Linked DNA regions of Caenorhabditis elegans. The protein of the gene in region 1 purifies or fractionates together with the protein of each later gene. This does not show direct contact. Each region holds a gene or a part of one and is shown in the gene's direction. Other genes may lie near its edges.

Region 1 (7,521 bases):
GATTCTATGAAACAGAAATTCCTTTTATTTTCGTAAAGATCCTAAAAGCTGACACGACAATGACTGCAAACGTAAACTTGTGGATCAATGGATCAATTATTGTTGGAAACTCAACGATTGAAAATTTGGATTTTAAGGTGAGATGTTTCATCCAATCATCTATGAATCATTCTTACTGAAGCTATGTAATTTCAAGTCGTACGACGTACGCCAAATATTATATGTTTTTATGTGTTTTTACAAATGGTAATTTAATCGAAACGTAAATTATTAATAGGCCTTTAAAATCACCAGAAAGCTCAAAATTGTAAAATAAAGAGGTTACGTAAAATGTAAATAGGCCCAATCTATCCCAATCTTCCACACTAGTTTAAAACATTTTGGGTTAAAGATGGAAAAATTTGAACTTGGGTAAGACTTGAATGCGATTATATGATATTTCACCAAGAAAATTGTCACCAATTTATTTTTTTGGAAGCCGGCCTGGATGTTTCAGTTTTGAGGTGCTAATCAAATTGTCATATTTCAGCTCCTTGAAACAAAAATCAACGATGTCGACCAAGATTCATTTTCCGACTTGGGATTATTTGGTGCTGAATTTTTAGAGAAGCTTCTCACTGAAATTCTTCAAATGGGAATTGCTCTGCCAACCATGCAAGGTGTAATTCTGAAGAGTCCAAAGTGAGTTTGAAACGAGCTCTATAATATGAATTTATTATAATTTCAGATTAACTTTCCACGATCGTTATCTGAAAGTTTCAACATATTTCAAACTTGACGAGGAATACGCAGGAAGTCTTGTCAGAGGAGCTGTTGGAAAAACGTTACGTGGACCATTGTGATGAATGACAAAGTTACCAAAAAACAGAAATATCGATATTTAGTTACCGGTTTATATGTACATTTCGAGAAAAGAATACTGATGAATATATAATAAATAAGTTATTATCTGCGAAACTGTTTGAAGAAATAAGGACAGTTTTCATCTCCGTAATTTGCAAAACTGCAAATAAAATTAAATATTTGCAAGGGACCAAAAATTGTTTTTTCTGTCGAATGTATAATATGAGAGTTTCGATTGAACGTGTCAAGTCTTTCATAGAGATTCTATTCAACAATTCAAACAATACTTTCAATCGAACAGGTATCATTTCATTCGTGATCATTCATTTCAATATCTTCTTGATCGTCAAATAAACTTATCTTTTCAACGTTTAACTTTCGTTCACATTACCAATGTACTTTTCTCATTTTTCTTTTTCTGTGGTTTTTAATCATTTCTCTACTGGCCAAGCTCCACCATTAATCTCAATCTGACAGAATATTATTTTGCTGAATTACAGGGAATCTTCAAAACTGGATCCAAATTATTTGCAATCGAGGGTTGTCCAACTATCGAATAATTTGTTATGATCAAAATTCTAGTCGTTTTTAAAGGTACAATTGGGTCTATTACTGGCTTAACAACCTGATGTGCATCGTTTAGTAATGTCAATTCGTATTTATTTGTCTCATATTGAACCCTTCCTAGTCACGCCACTTCACATAAAACCATCACCATGGAGTCATTGCGTTTCTATGTTTTTCTGCTCATTTTCTACTCTTTCTATATACTTTTGGATGTGACTTGATCATCTAAAGTCTCGCTTTTCACACAATTGTTTTTGACTTTTTCATTCAAAGTGCAAAAATTGTGTAGTAGATGTTTGATTTGTTACCTGTTATTCAAACAATCCATAAATCGGCACCCTTCCGTTTATATTTTGGAGATTTGTTGTTTCGAACACACATTTTTTTGCAGAAACATTTATAATGTCCAACGAACAAGAAGATTTTGGATCACTTTTTAACAACCAAGGAGAGTTAGGAATCATGGACGATTTTGCCGAGTTTGGGTAAGTAAGTTTTTAAACGGGTGATGCTGATAACATTTATAATCGTACTTTTTACGATGTGTCAAGATGTCTTAACCGTGCAATAACAGTTGTCTCTGCGTCTCAATTCCCGCATTTATTGTAGATCATATGGGACATGGAACAGCCTGACACCACGTGATTTTTCCGATAATAGTCACATTCAATTATGTTTACTTCTGTTTTTTAATGAAAAATAATTTGTAATTTTTCCGTGTCAAATAGTTTCCTAACTCCCGGCTGTTAACAAACTATTATAAAAGTCGCTCAAAACTTTTTTCAATGCAATTTTAGTTATGTAAACTTATAACAAAAGTAAATTAAAGGTGACTGACTATTTTTAGTCCAATATATATACCAATGTTGACAGGGTTTTACAAACTGGAAGCTATTTTTGATGATTCAAGCTTTTTATTTCAAAAATCTGTCTGACTTTTCTGGACTGCTCTACTCTATTGAAACTTTAAACTCAATTTTACAAAAAACAAGTAATTGAACTGTTTTCTCGGCTTGAAAAAAAACCTAGAATGTTCCAATTATTAGGCAACACCACTAAGTTATATCAGTAACTTCAACAAAACGTTTCAAACCAAATAAGTTTTATATTTGTCCAGCACACTATCACTTCCCCCGTAGACAGTGAGATGGAAATATATTGTTAACCTGACTGACTCGTTCCGACTTTTATAAGACAAGATGCATATTTCTCTCTCCGCCCTGTCTACGCATTTCTGTGTCTTGATCTTTTGAACCAAAAAGTTTACAACGGATGTCCTGGGGCGGAAACAATAAATACCTCTCTTTCTCGTAGTTTGCAACGTACCCGCTCTTCTTGAGTTCACCGGAATCAAAACACAATTATTGTATTTGCCCCTGTCTTTTCCTCATTTACATTTTGAAGTTTCCCCAAAAGTTCAGTATCGTGGTTTGTTACTCAATTTGCAATTCCTAGCAATTTTTAAAAAATTATGAAAGAAGTCCCCAAATATTCCAAGAAATTCAGGAAAATTTGATGAAAAATAGGGAAAAAACCACAATGTTCTCTTTTTAAATTTTTCAAAAAAAATTTTTTGTAAATAATTCGAAGTTTAGACTCCAACAGGCACAATCAAACAAACATCTAAAGCCGAAAATTATGATAATTTGTTTATCTCTACGAGCCTTTTATGAATCTGATCTCTTAACCCAATAAACGAATAATATCTTCTTGATCTATCTGACCTTTTCGTGTTACTGTTCTCGTCTCTTTTCCTGCAATCGGCAAATATTTGAGCACAGCGCAACAGATGGACCACACTTTGTAGACAGAGCCACGTTGCAGTGTTCTAGAGTCACACTATTTTAGGGGTTTTCGGTATGGATTTTTTTATCGATTTTTTTAAATTTATTAATTTTTATTCAATGAAATTTCCAATGTTGAAAAACATTAATTTGTTGGAAAGATGAAAAAATTAAAATTTCAGAGGGTAACTAAAAATATTTCGAATTTTATTTCGTAACTACCCCTCCTCGAACTATTCTTCTTCCGAACGGTAATAACGAACCTTTTGTCATCTTTCCCTAACCTTCTTTTGTTCATTTCTCTTATTCATTCAAAGTAGTCGTCATTGAAAATACAATTCAGATGACGTTCTCAACCTCGTCTTTTTTTCCATTTCCTTCTATTTATCGATCACGTGCTATCGTTCCCTATTACGCGCTCACTCCAACTTTTTTCTTCCTGTTAGGAGCAGAAGCTCACGTGTTGCCGATGCTCTGAGTATATTCGTTCTCTATTTCTCTCCGTTCTCTCTCTCTCTCTCTCTCTCTCTTCTCTCTCTTTTTCTCTCTTTTTTCCCATTTCTTTCCTCCTTTCACTTACATTTGTTGTGACAGAAAACACACACATACATACCCTAACGCTCACTCTCGCTCCTCTCCTCTCTCGTTTTTCCTATCTAGTTCTCAAAATATTTCTCACGTCTCTTCTAGTTCCAATACTATTTTTTTAACCGTCGACTTTTATAAACTGATGTCAGAAACGAGCGCAATTCCAAAAAGAAAGAGTATGACTGACGTCAACAAAGGTGAAAGTTCTTGATCTGTTTCCAATACTCATATACATATATTTATTTCAATTTTCTTCAAAAACTCTATATTTGGTTCTATTCTGCCAGATCTAGTTTTTAAAAAGGAACCATAGTTCGTTCCCGAATATGAAAAAAAGTTAAGTAGCAACATTTAATTTACCGCATCATACATTATCTAACATTAGATATATAGTTGAATACACTTTTTTCAAGAACGAGACAGCACCTGTCTGGCAACTTCACGTACACTCTTATGAGAGATAACAATCTAAGGTCGTGAGACTTGCCCTATAACAAGTCTAGTCGACTTTTTAATTTCTTCTAATACACCTGTTATGACGACACGTTGCTAGACTCTGACAATAAGGAAACTAGACCTGAAGAAAAAGTGAACATATTTTTTAAATGATTTTGTGTTTTTCACTTAGAAAATCGAATGATTTCAGTACATTTATTTTTATATTTATTTATCAAATGAATATCCCAAAACTATCTTCCTTCTATAGCATGCTGATAGAGAGCAAAAAAATTTAACTGAACCGATTTCAAAACCTCTAATACGACGTCATTATTTCTTATCTATAGGTATTCTGGCATTATTATGCACTCAATTGACTTTTTCTCTATTTTCACGTCAGCTAATTTCACCAACAACCCTCATATTCGTAATCCTTAGATAATCCCTTCCTTATAGGATCTCATTATCTCATAATTATTTCATTTTGTATTAATATCAAAGCCAACCGACTTCCTTGTTGTTTTGTGTTTTTCTTAACTCGTTTTAAATATTCGACTTTTCAGTTTTCAAACTACAACAACACCCACAAATTGGGCGGCTGCGGGGAATTATATGTACCCAGGTGAGTCAAATTGTAGACATGACAAAGTTATTGGAAAACTAGACAGAAGTGGCTATAACTGCAAAAAATATATTTATAAAACAGACGTTTTCAGTTCCTGATCTCAGAATGCCTCAAATCACATAAAATATAAATATGCTTCAATTTTTTGTTAGAAAACAATTATAAACATGAAAAATATCTTTAAAAATATTTCGTATGATTTCGATGTTTTTCAGACGATTTATTTCCGGTTTGTCATATGATTTAATATGAATCAGAAAGTTCTAAAACGAAAATTATCCAGCTTAAGTCCCTCATCATCCATATGAGTCACCGTGATCACAATCACTTGGGAAACAAGTTTCTGACTAATTTAACATTTGGAATTGAGCTTTTATTTTATTGTTCAAACTGATATACAAAAATTACAGATCAAGTTCACTTACCGGCAAGCATCAATAATCCAAACATGCCAATAAACGACTGGTTGGAAGATGCTCCAATGCCTGATTGCTATAATGTTCCGTCAACATCAACTGATGAAAATAATGATCCGTTTCCATTTTCAAATATGTACGTTTATTTGAAAGTTATACACATTCACATACCTCTTTTTTTAGCTCAAGCCAATCTTCTTTGAAACCAAAAACTCCTGAAAAGGCAGTAGTTGAAGTACGTCCTACTGGAAACGAGATGTTGGATCCTGAACCCAAATATCCAAAAGAAGAAAAACCGTGGTGTACCATATTTTACTACGAGCTGACTGTTCGAGTAAGTTCAAAATTATTTGAGAAAGAATTTCAAAAAACGGATAGCATAACAATGATATATTTTCAGCTAGGAAAAGCATTCGAAGCCAAAGTCCCAACAATTACAATCGATGGTGCAACTGGAGCAAGTGATGAGTGCCGAATGTCGCTTACATCTCAACCATCTTCGAGAAATTCAAAAAGCTCACAAATCCGAAACACAGTTGGAGCAGGAATTCAATTGGCATATGAAAATGGAGAACTTTGGCTAACTGTACTGACTGACCAAATTGTTTTTGTACAATGCCCATTCCTGAACCAGACATTGAATAAGCCACTGAAATATGTGTTTCGGTTGCAAAACAAAGGAGATCAAAAAAGAATGAAAATATTCGATAAGGAGCAGTTTGAACAGGAGAAAACATTGGCTCTCGGACCTTTAACTGAAAAAGAGGTGGCTGATGAACGAATGAGAATCTTCTCCAACATCAGAGTCTCTTTCTGTAAAGGATTCGGAGAAACGTATTCCCGTTTGAAAGTTGTGAATTTACCGTGTTGGATTGAAATTATCTTGCATGAGCCAGCTGATGAGTATGATACAGTGAGTTTTTAAACTTTAATGTAATTTTTCCTAAATTAAAAATATAATATTAAAACACAATTTCCGATAGTGCGGTCCAACTGCAGCTGAAATACCCAAGATCTCTGAAAATGTTGTACACCACTGAGCCGACTACTGAATTTTACTGGCTAGCAATTTTTGTATAGGCTTAAAGTATCTCCATTGAAGATTAAAGAATCGATTTTTTAGCCACCTGGATTCTTTCGGTGAATCAAGGCTATATTTGTTTCCGAAATAAATAGATAAATTAAAAAACTTCATGAAAGACAAATAATTAATAATTATATTCACATTTGTCTTATCCGGTTCTATTTATAAAATAATTAAACAAAATATGACTATTTCAATCATTAAAACAAAAACACAAAAAATTCAACATATGATCTAGTAATGGAATTAACTGTTAAGTGTATGGCATAGTTGAGACCATTTTGAATTTGAATTTGAATTTAAATTTAAACACTTGAAATAACACACAAAATTGTTTCAAGTAATTAAAGTTCCATTAATAATCTTCAGGTTTTCCGTATTAATAACGAACGGCCGGAAATAGGATCCCGATCATGATTGCTTCAATATTTTCACTTCAATGATTGGTTCTAAGCATTCGAATGCGTACCCGTTTGATTAATATTTCCATTTCTGTCCCAGTTTTTAATTTTCATTTCTTTTGGTTAAAAAATTCCCAGTCTCTTGAATGCTTTTCTAAAATCTTTAATTCAATTATTTATTAGAATCTTCTGTTTTGAGAACTTTGTAATGTAATTAAATAATTTGATGAAATGATTATGAATGCGAATAAATTATTAAAATAATATTAATAATACATTTTTGGTGGAAAGGAGAGGAACCTGAAACAATAAATTAGAAATCTGACGACAAAAGTGTCAATTGTGGAAATAAATAAAATGAGATGATCCCGTATGGGTTGGAAATGTCTTTAAATGTAGGATGAGCACAAAACTAAAAGAGCAAAGAAAACAGAGAACATTTTGAGAAAAATTAAGTCATAGTTTAGAAGAATTTCTTGCTTTTACAAGAATCAATAAAATGGAATATGAGTTCACAGCTGGCGTTTGGAGCATACATCTGCAAATAAGGAAAATTAACATGATTGTGAAAAAGTGATTTGATTAAATGTGTCTCTGTTGTAACACCAACAACAGGAATTCACAAAAGAGCACCAAAAATACGTAACAGATAGGCACGTAGTCACTCCTAAATGCCTACCTGTAGTGGCAGCCTTGATTTCTATATTTTAAAATTTACCTGCAGGAAGGGACAGTTGCCTCTCGCCCATTTCGAGACATCTTTGATACTAAAACT
Region 2 (5,156 bases), on another chromosome or scaffold:
AGGATTATACAAATTTAGAAACATTATTCATTCTTTTTAATCATGATATCTCAAAGGATGTTGTTTACTTCAACTTTTGAAAGGATTTTATAGATAAATTGTTATGATTATTTACTTGTTTTGTTTCTTCCTCCAGTATTTAATCTGTGGTCACTTCGTGGTCTTCAAGGCTTTAGGTTCAGCTCATTTTGGTTGTTTAATAGTAAGTCATATGATACGAAGATTCACAGAATGATTTGATAATAATAATAATACGAAATCTCTTTTTCTATAATATTCTCAGAATGTCATACTTCTATAGAATTTATAAATACATTATTACTGTTTTGAAAACCTTTTTTTCCTAATCTATTCGCCGTCAATTTGGCGTTCTTCTAACATTCAGTATTCGAAATCAATGTTCAAAATTTGCTTAGAGAACACCCCAAAATTAGGTTCCGTCCATATCTTGGCTTTTTTCGCCGCCAGATTCAGAAAAAAACTGATTTTCTGTGAGTTCTATTCTATTTTTTTAATTTCTTAAACAATTGGAAATGGTACAGTGTGTTATAAAATAGTTTATTTATTCTGGTTCCTCATGAGAGCACCTCAATAAAAAGTAGTGACGTACATCCATCTGAAACAAAAATAACAATATGACGCCTTCTTAGTAGTACTTATGTTAGTTTCTATTAATGGACTTTTTTTTAAAATAAAAACTCAAAATAGTCAAAGAAATTCTAAAAATGGACATTTGCTAAAATTTAAGAGAAACGATTTCAAAAGATGAAATTATACTTTCCTCCCAACTTTTTTGCTTTTGATAAATTGCTGGCCGAGTTATAACTATTTCTAGGTCACGTATCAGAAGCCGGGTGAGTCTTGAGATCTTCGTGATGCCTTGTCATATCTAAATGAACGAAACTTGAATAAATTAATTAGGAGTCATCGGCTTCATTGAGTTCAGAAAAATTCTGTATAAAACAAAATCAAGATTCAGGTAAATATCTAGATTTTCGATCATTTTGGAACCGCGTTCCTGATATCGAAAAAACTTCGAATCCATTTAAAAGTTGAATAAATCAAATGAAAACTTCCTCTCATTTTTCTTCATTTCTCTCTCTATTTTTCCTTGATTTTATAGGTGATGACGATTCTGATCAACACAAAAATCTTATCACAAACTGTTGTTTCTTATCATTTTTTACACGTTCATACCAGTTTTCATTCCGAGTTCTTGAATTTCATAATTCTTTCATTTCGCCTTTCTATGTAGATATTGAAACTCCGCCCATTTGAGTAGCTCACCTGACTCTTATGACTTACCAGAAGGTTCTATTATCATTTTGGATATAATTCTGTTTTCTGATTCAAATTTTTTTTGAATTTCGGCAATGCACAACGAAAAATATTAATTTCATATATAAAATCATCTGTACTATTTATTATTCTTTATCCCAAATCAGTCCTTTTTTGTGGTCGTTGCTTTTTAAGCTCGGCCCATTTTTTTGGATTTTATTCTAGCCTAACATCTCCTCCCATATTTTTTTTAATTCTTCGAAATTTCAGTTTTAAAACTACGAAAATGGACGATTTTCCTTCACCAGAACCTACTGATCCCAGACTTGAGGCAATGGCTCAAAAAGTGTTAGAAGAAACTATTATCACTGAAGGAGATGTATGTTTTTGAAGATTTGAAACTTTTTTTTTGAATTTTCAACACAAATAGTCTCGCTGGCTACTTTTAAAAATTAAAAAGCCATCTGCAAATTTTAAATTTCATATTCTAGGCCAGCCGGCGAGCAAGTAAGTGAACAAGAAACTTTAAAAAAGAGCAGAGTTGAGAGATACCGTATCTTGATCAAACATCAAATGTCCAGACATATTAGCGAATTTTTATTTTAAAATATTTAGAATCAACCTACATAAACATTAACTTATACGTTTTCTAATTTTAGAATGTGTCTCTCAAATTAGCCTTTTCTTTTAAAACAGGAAACAATTTTTTTTCAAAAATAGTAATACTTAAAGAAACTGAAAGGATATTTACGACAAAAGGTTTTAATGTATGTTGGAGACTCGAAAAGATCCAAAAAAAAAATAAAGAGAAAATTACAGGAAAAGAGAAAAGCCCATATCTTGTTTTTTAAATTTTGTTATAGTAAACTTTTCCTAAGAAATTCAAATCCTTAAAATTGCCCTATTTGAAGTGTCAAGCTATCCTCAACTATTTTTTAGGGAACAATCTACTGGGCTCTCAAAGTTACCCGATTACTCTCTAGAGTAGCTAAAAAACACCAGTGCTTTGAAGCTTTCTACGATGCCGTTATTAAAGGTGATCCAAAAACACGATGCTGTCCTGCACACAATGAGAAACTCATTGGAAACTTTGGACGAGCTATCATGTGTGTCTTGAGAGCATTCAGATTTCCGGTTATTCGATATGAATCTCAAGTGAAATCAATATTAACGTGTCGACATGCATTCAATTCCCATAGTCGGAATGTTTGTCTGAATCCGTATCATTATCGATGGGTTGAACTACCGACGTGCCAAGTTCCACCAATTATTGTAAATAAGGAATTGGATTACGGTGAACCTCCGATTCGGACTGAGGATGCACTGGATGATTGGAATCAAAAGGATTTGAAAGAGGAACAGGTGGTTGCAAGTTGGGATGTGCCAAATGTGACGATGAGAGGAGATGAAATTAAGGTTTGTTGAGAGATGATATCCCTTTTTGAACTCTTTCCAAAATGCAAAATCCAGTAAATAAGTTGCAATTAATCTTTTTTTTTCTTTAGAAATTTTGGAAATTTGCAAACTTACCAAAAACGTTGACTGAAATATTTGCACGTATTTCTACAAAACATCCACTGTCACCCCCTCACATTCAAAAATAAAAATTTCAGCTTCTCTATGATCGATATGCAGCTGAAAACGGAGATTTTCAATATATGAATTACGGAAATTTTGGCTCTTTTGATGGAAGTCCGTGTAGCTCTACCACGATGTCATTAGGATCATCTTTCGCATCGTTACTGCAACAAAGTAATCGACAAGACGACGAGGAACCCGGATATTATAGATCTGGACTCTCATCTCCAGCTAGGTACGAATTTCACTTTTTTGGAATTTTTTTGTTTTTACAATACTGATTCAACAATCTAAAGAACTGGCTAAACTGAAAGTAGAATTCGAAATTCGACCTAAAGGTTGAAAAAAAAATTAAATTTGGCGGTCGGGCCGACGAAACTGTTGAATATTGGAAAAAATTGAAATATTAGTTTAGATCTATAAAACTTTAAATTTACAGTCATGCAGCTTCTCCTCGAGAGTTTATTCCAAACGGAAATGATACAATAAGTCTGGATCAAGAAATGATGGATGATTCCGAAGTTAGTGACATCATGCATTCCGAGAATTTTTCATCAGAGAACAATGGAAACCGAAAGCCAACGTATGCAGATGGACGGCCTATCACACCAATTGAACCTCGACCACTCTATCGATCTTCGGCATTAGAACTTGGAGATCTGTCACGACAGGCTGGAATATATGAATGTGTAGAATATGAAGAGTCGCCGAGTTGGCTGAAATTAATTTATTATGAAGAAGGAACGATGATTGGAGAGAAAGCCGATGTAGAAGGGCATCACTGCCTGATCGATGGATTTACAGCTAGTCGCACTGACTCAGAAACCAGAAGGTTTGTATCATTGACAGAAGCCCTGGTCTAGAACTTACACGCATCTGAATTTTAACTACATTCACTAGTGTACACTGAACTAAAACATAAATTCAAGTAAATATCAAAATAACATCATTACAGCCGTTTCTCGCTTGGTTGGTACAACAATCCAAACCGCTCTCCACAAACGGCCGAAGTTCGTGGTCTCATTGGAAAGGGTGTTCGATTTTACTTGTTAGCTGGTGAAGTCTATGTAGAGAATTTGTGCAATATTCCTGTTTTTGTACAGTCAATCGGTGCAAATATGAAGAATGGTTTCCAATTGAATACTGTATCAAAGTTGCCTCCAACTGGAACTATGAAAGTTTTTGACATGAGATTATTCTCCAAACAGCTGAGAACAGCAGCTGAGAAGACATATCAAGGTGAGAGTGAATTAGTAATTTCTATTATATCATATTACTTTTCGTCCAAAGTACGGCTATTGTGCGATATATCAAAATTGTCAACTAAAAATAATTTATAAAAAGTTTTTGACATTTTTTGGTGTATAGTTTTTACCGATGCAACTTTCGGAGAATACGAATTCTCAAACCTTCTAGTCAGCTACATTTTTTTTCTTCCAACATTTCAGACGTCTACTGTCTCTCACGAATGTGCACAGTTCGTGTTTCGTTCTGCAAAGGTTGGGGAGAACACTATCGTCGTTCAACCGTCCTCCGATCGCCTGTTTGGTTTCAGGCTCATTTGAATAATCCGATGCATTGGGTCGATAGTGTACTCACTTGTATGGGAGCTCCACCACGTATATGTTCATCCAGAACTTAGCTTCTTTCTTTGCCAAAATCCTAATCTCCAATTTGCGTGTGATCAATTTTGTTGATAGAGAAAGGTTTTTATTTTACTCTAAAACATCAAAACGAGTTTTAAAATTTTTTATTTAAAAATTTAGATTTTAAACTTTTTCTGTGTATTTTTACATTGTTTTTGAGGGCTTTAGAACTGCTCGAGATTTCTTTTTGCAGCTTTTAAACGACTTATGTCAACTTTAAAAGTGTTTACAGTAGCCAAATATTCTAGAATCCTTGGAAATGTAATTTTGGTCTGATTTTTTCCGATCGAGCTTGATGGATTAAATTTAATATTATCAAAAAAAAAAACACTTTCAAAAAGCTGCCAGGATATTCACTTAAATATAAACCCCCTAAAATCCTTGGAAATCATCAAAATAGTTATCCGAGCAGTTTTACGTCCGTCGAAAGTAGTGCACAGTTACGCTTAAAATGTTTCAGATCGAAATTTTATTTATCCAGAAAGTGGCTTAGAGTTTTACAGTGATCTGTTTTCAATAAGTAATTTAGTATTTAAAAAAAGTTTCGTTTTGATATTGGAGCGTGAAATCAAAACCTTTTCTTGCGAGAGTGGAGCACTTTACTTGTGAAAGGATCGGTTGAAAGGAGGAGGTTCTAAGAATTGTAGATCTAAA

Evidence for each region. The genes of interacting proteins can lie anywhere in the genome.
Region 2: the proteins of daf-14 (region 1) and daf-8 purify together in Caenorhabditis elegans (affinity purification with western blotting, with the first as the bait; one study listed by BioGRID). This does not show direct contact.

Annotation. Positions count from the first base shown.
Region 1 is NC_003282.8:10,248,834-10,256,354, forward strand, and holds daf-14 (Smad-related protein daf-14), read left to right. Parts: upstream 1-1,793; 5' UTR 1,794-1,812; coding exon 1,813-1,895; intron 1,896-4,783; coding exon 4,784-4,842; intron 4,843-5,255; coding exon 5,256-5,397; intron 5,398-5,444; coding exon 5,445-5,595; intron 5,596-5,661; coding exon 5,662-6,174; intron 6,175-6,714; coding exon 6,715-6,762; 3' UTR 6,763-7,019; downstream 7,020-7,521. Other genes in the region: F01G10.10 (BPI2 domain-containing protein), read left to right, coding at 39-137, 530-681, 728-842; F01G10.9 (aECM cysteine-cradle domain-containing protein), read right to left, coding at 7,210-7,284, 7,465-7,521. UniProt on the Caenorhabditis elegans protein: Probably an atypical receptor-regulated SMAD (R-SMAD) that is an intracellular signal transducer and transcriptional modulator activated by TGF-beta-like daf-7 signaling.
Region 2 is NC_003279.8:8,583,898-8,589,053, reverse strand, and holds daf-8 (Smad protein daf-8), read left to right. Parts: upstream 1-1,546; 5' UTR 1,547-1,564; coding exon 1,565-1,657; intron 1,658-2,217; coding exon 2,218-2,694; intron 2,695-2,891; coding exon 2,892-3,091; intron 3,092-3,295; coding exon 3,296-3,688; intron 3,689-3,811; coding exon 3,812-4,095; intron 4,096-4,304; coding exon 4,305-4,498; 3' UTR 4,499-4,630; downstream 4,631-5,156. UniProt on the Caenorhabditis elegans protein: Probably a receptor-regulated SMAD (R-SMAD) that is an intracellular signal transducer and transcriptional modulator activated by TGF-beta-like daf-7 signaling.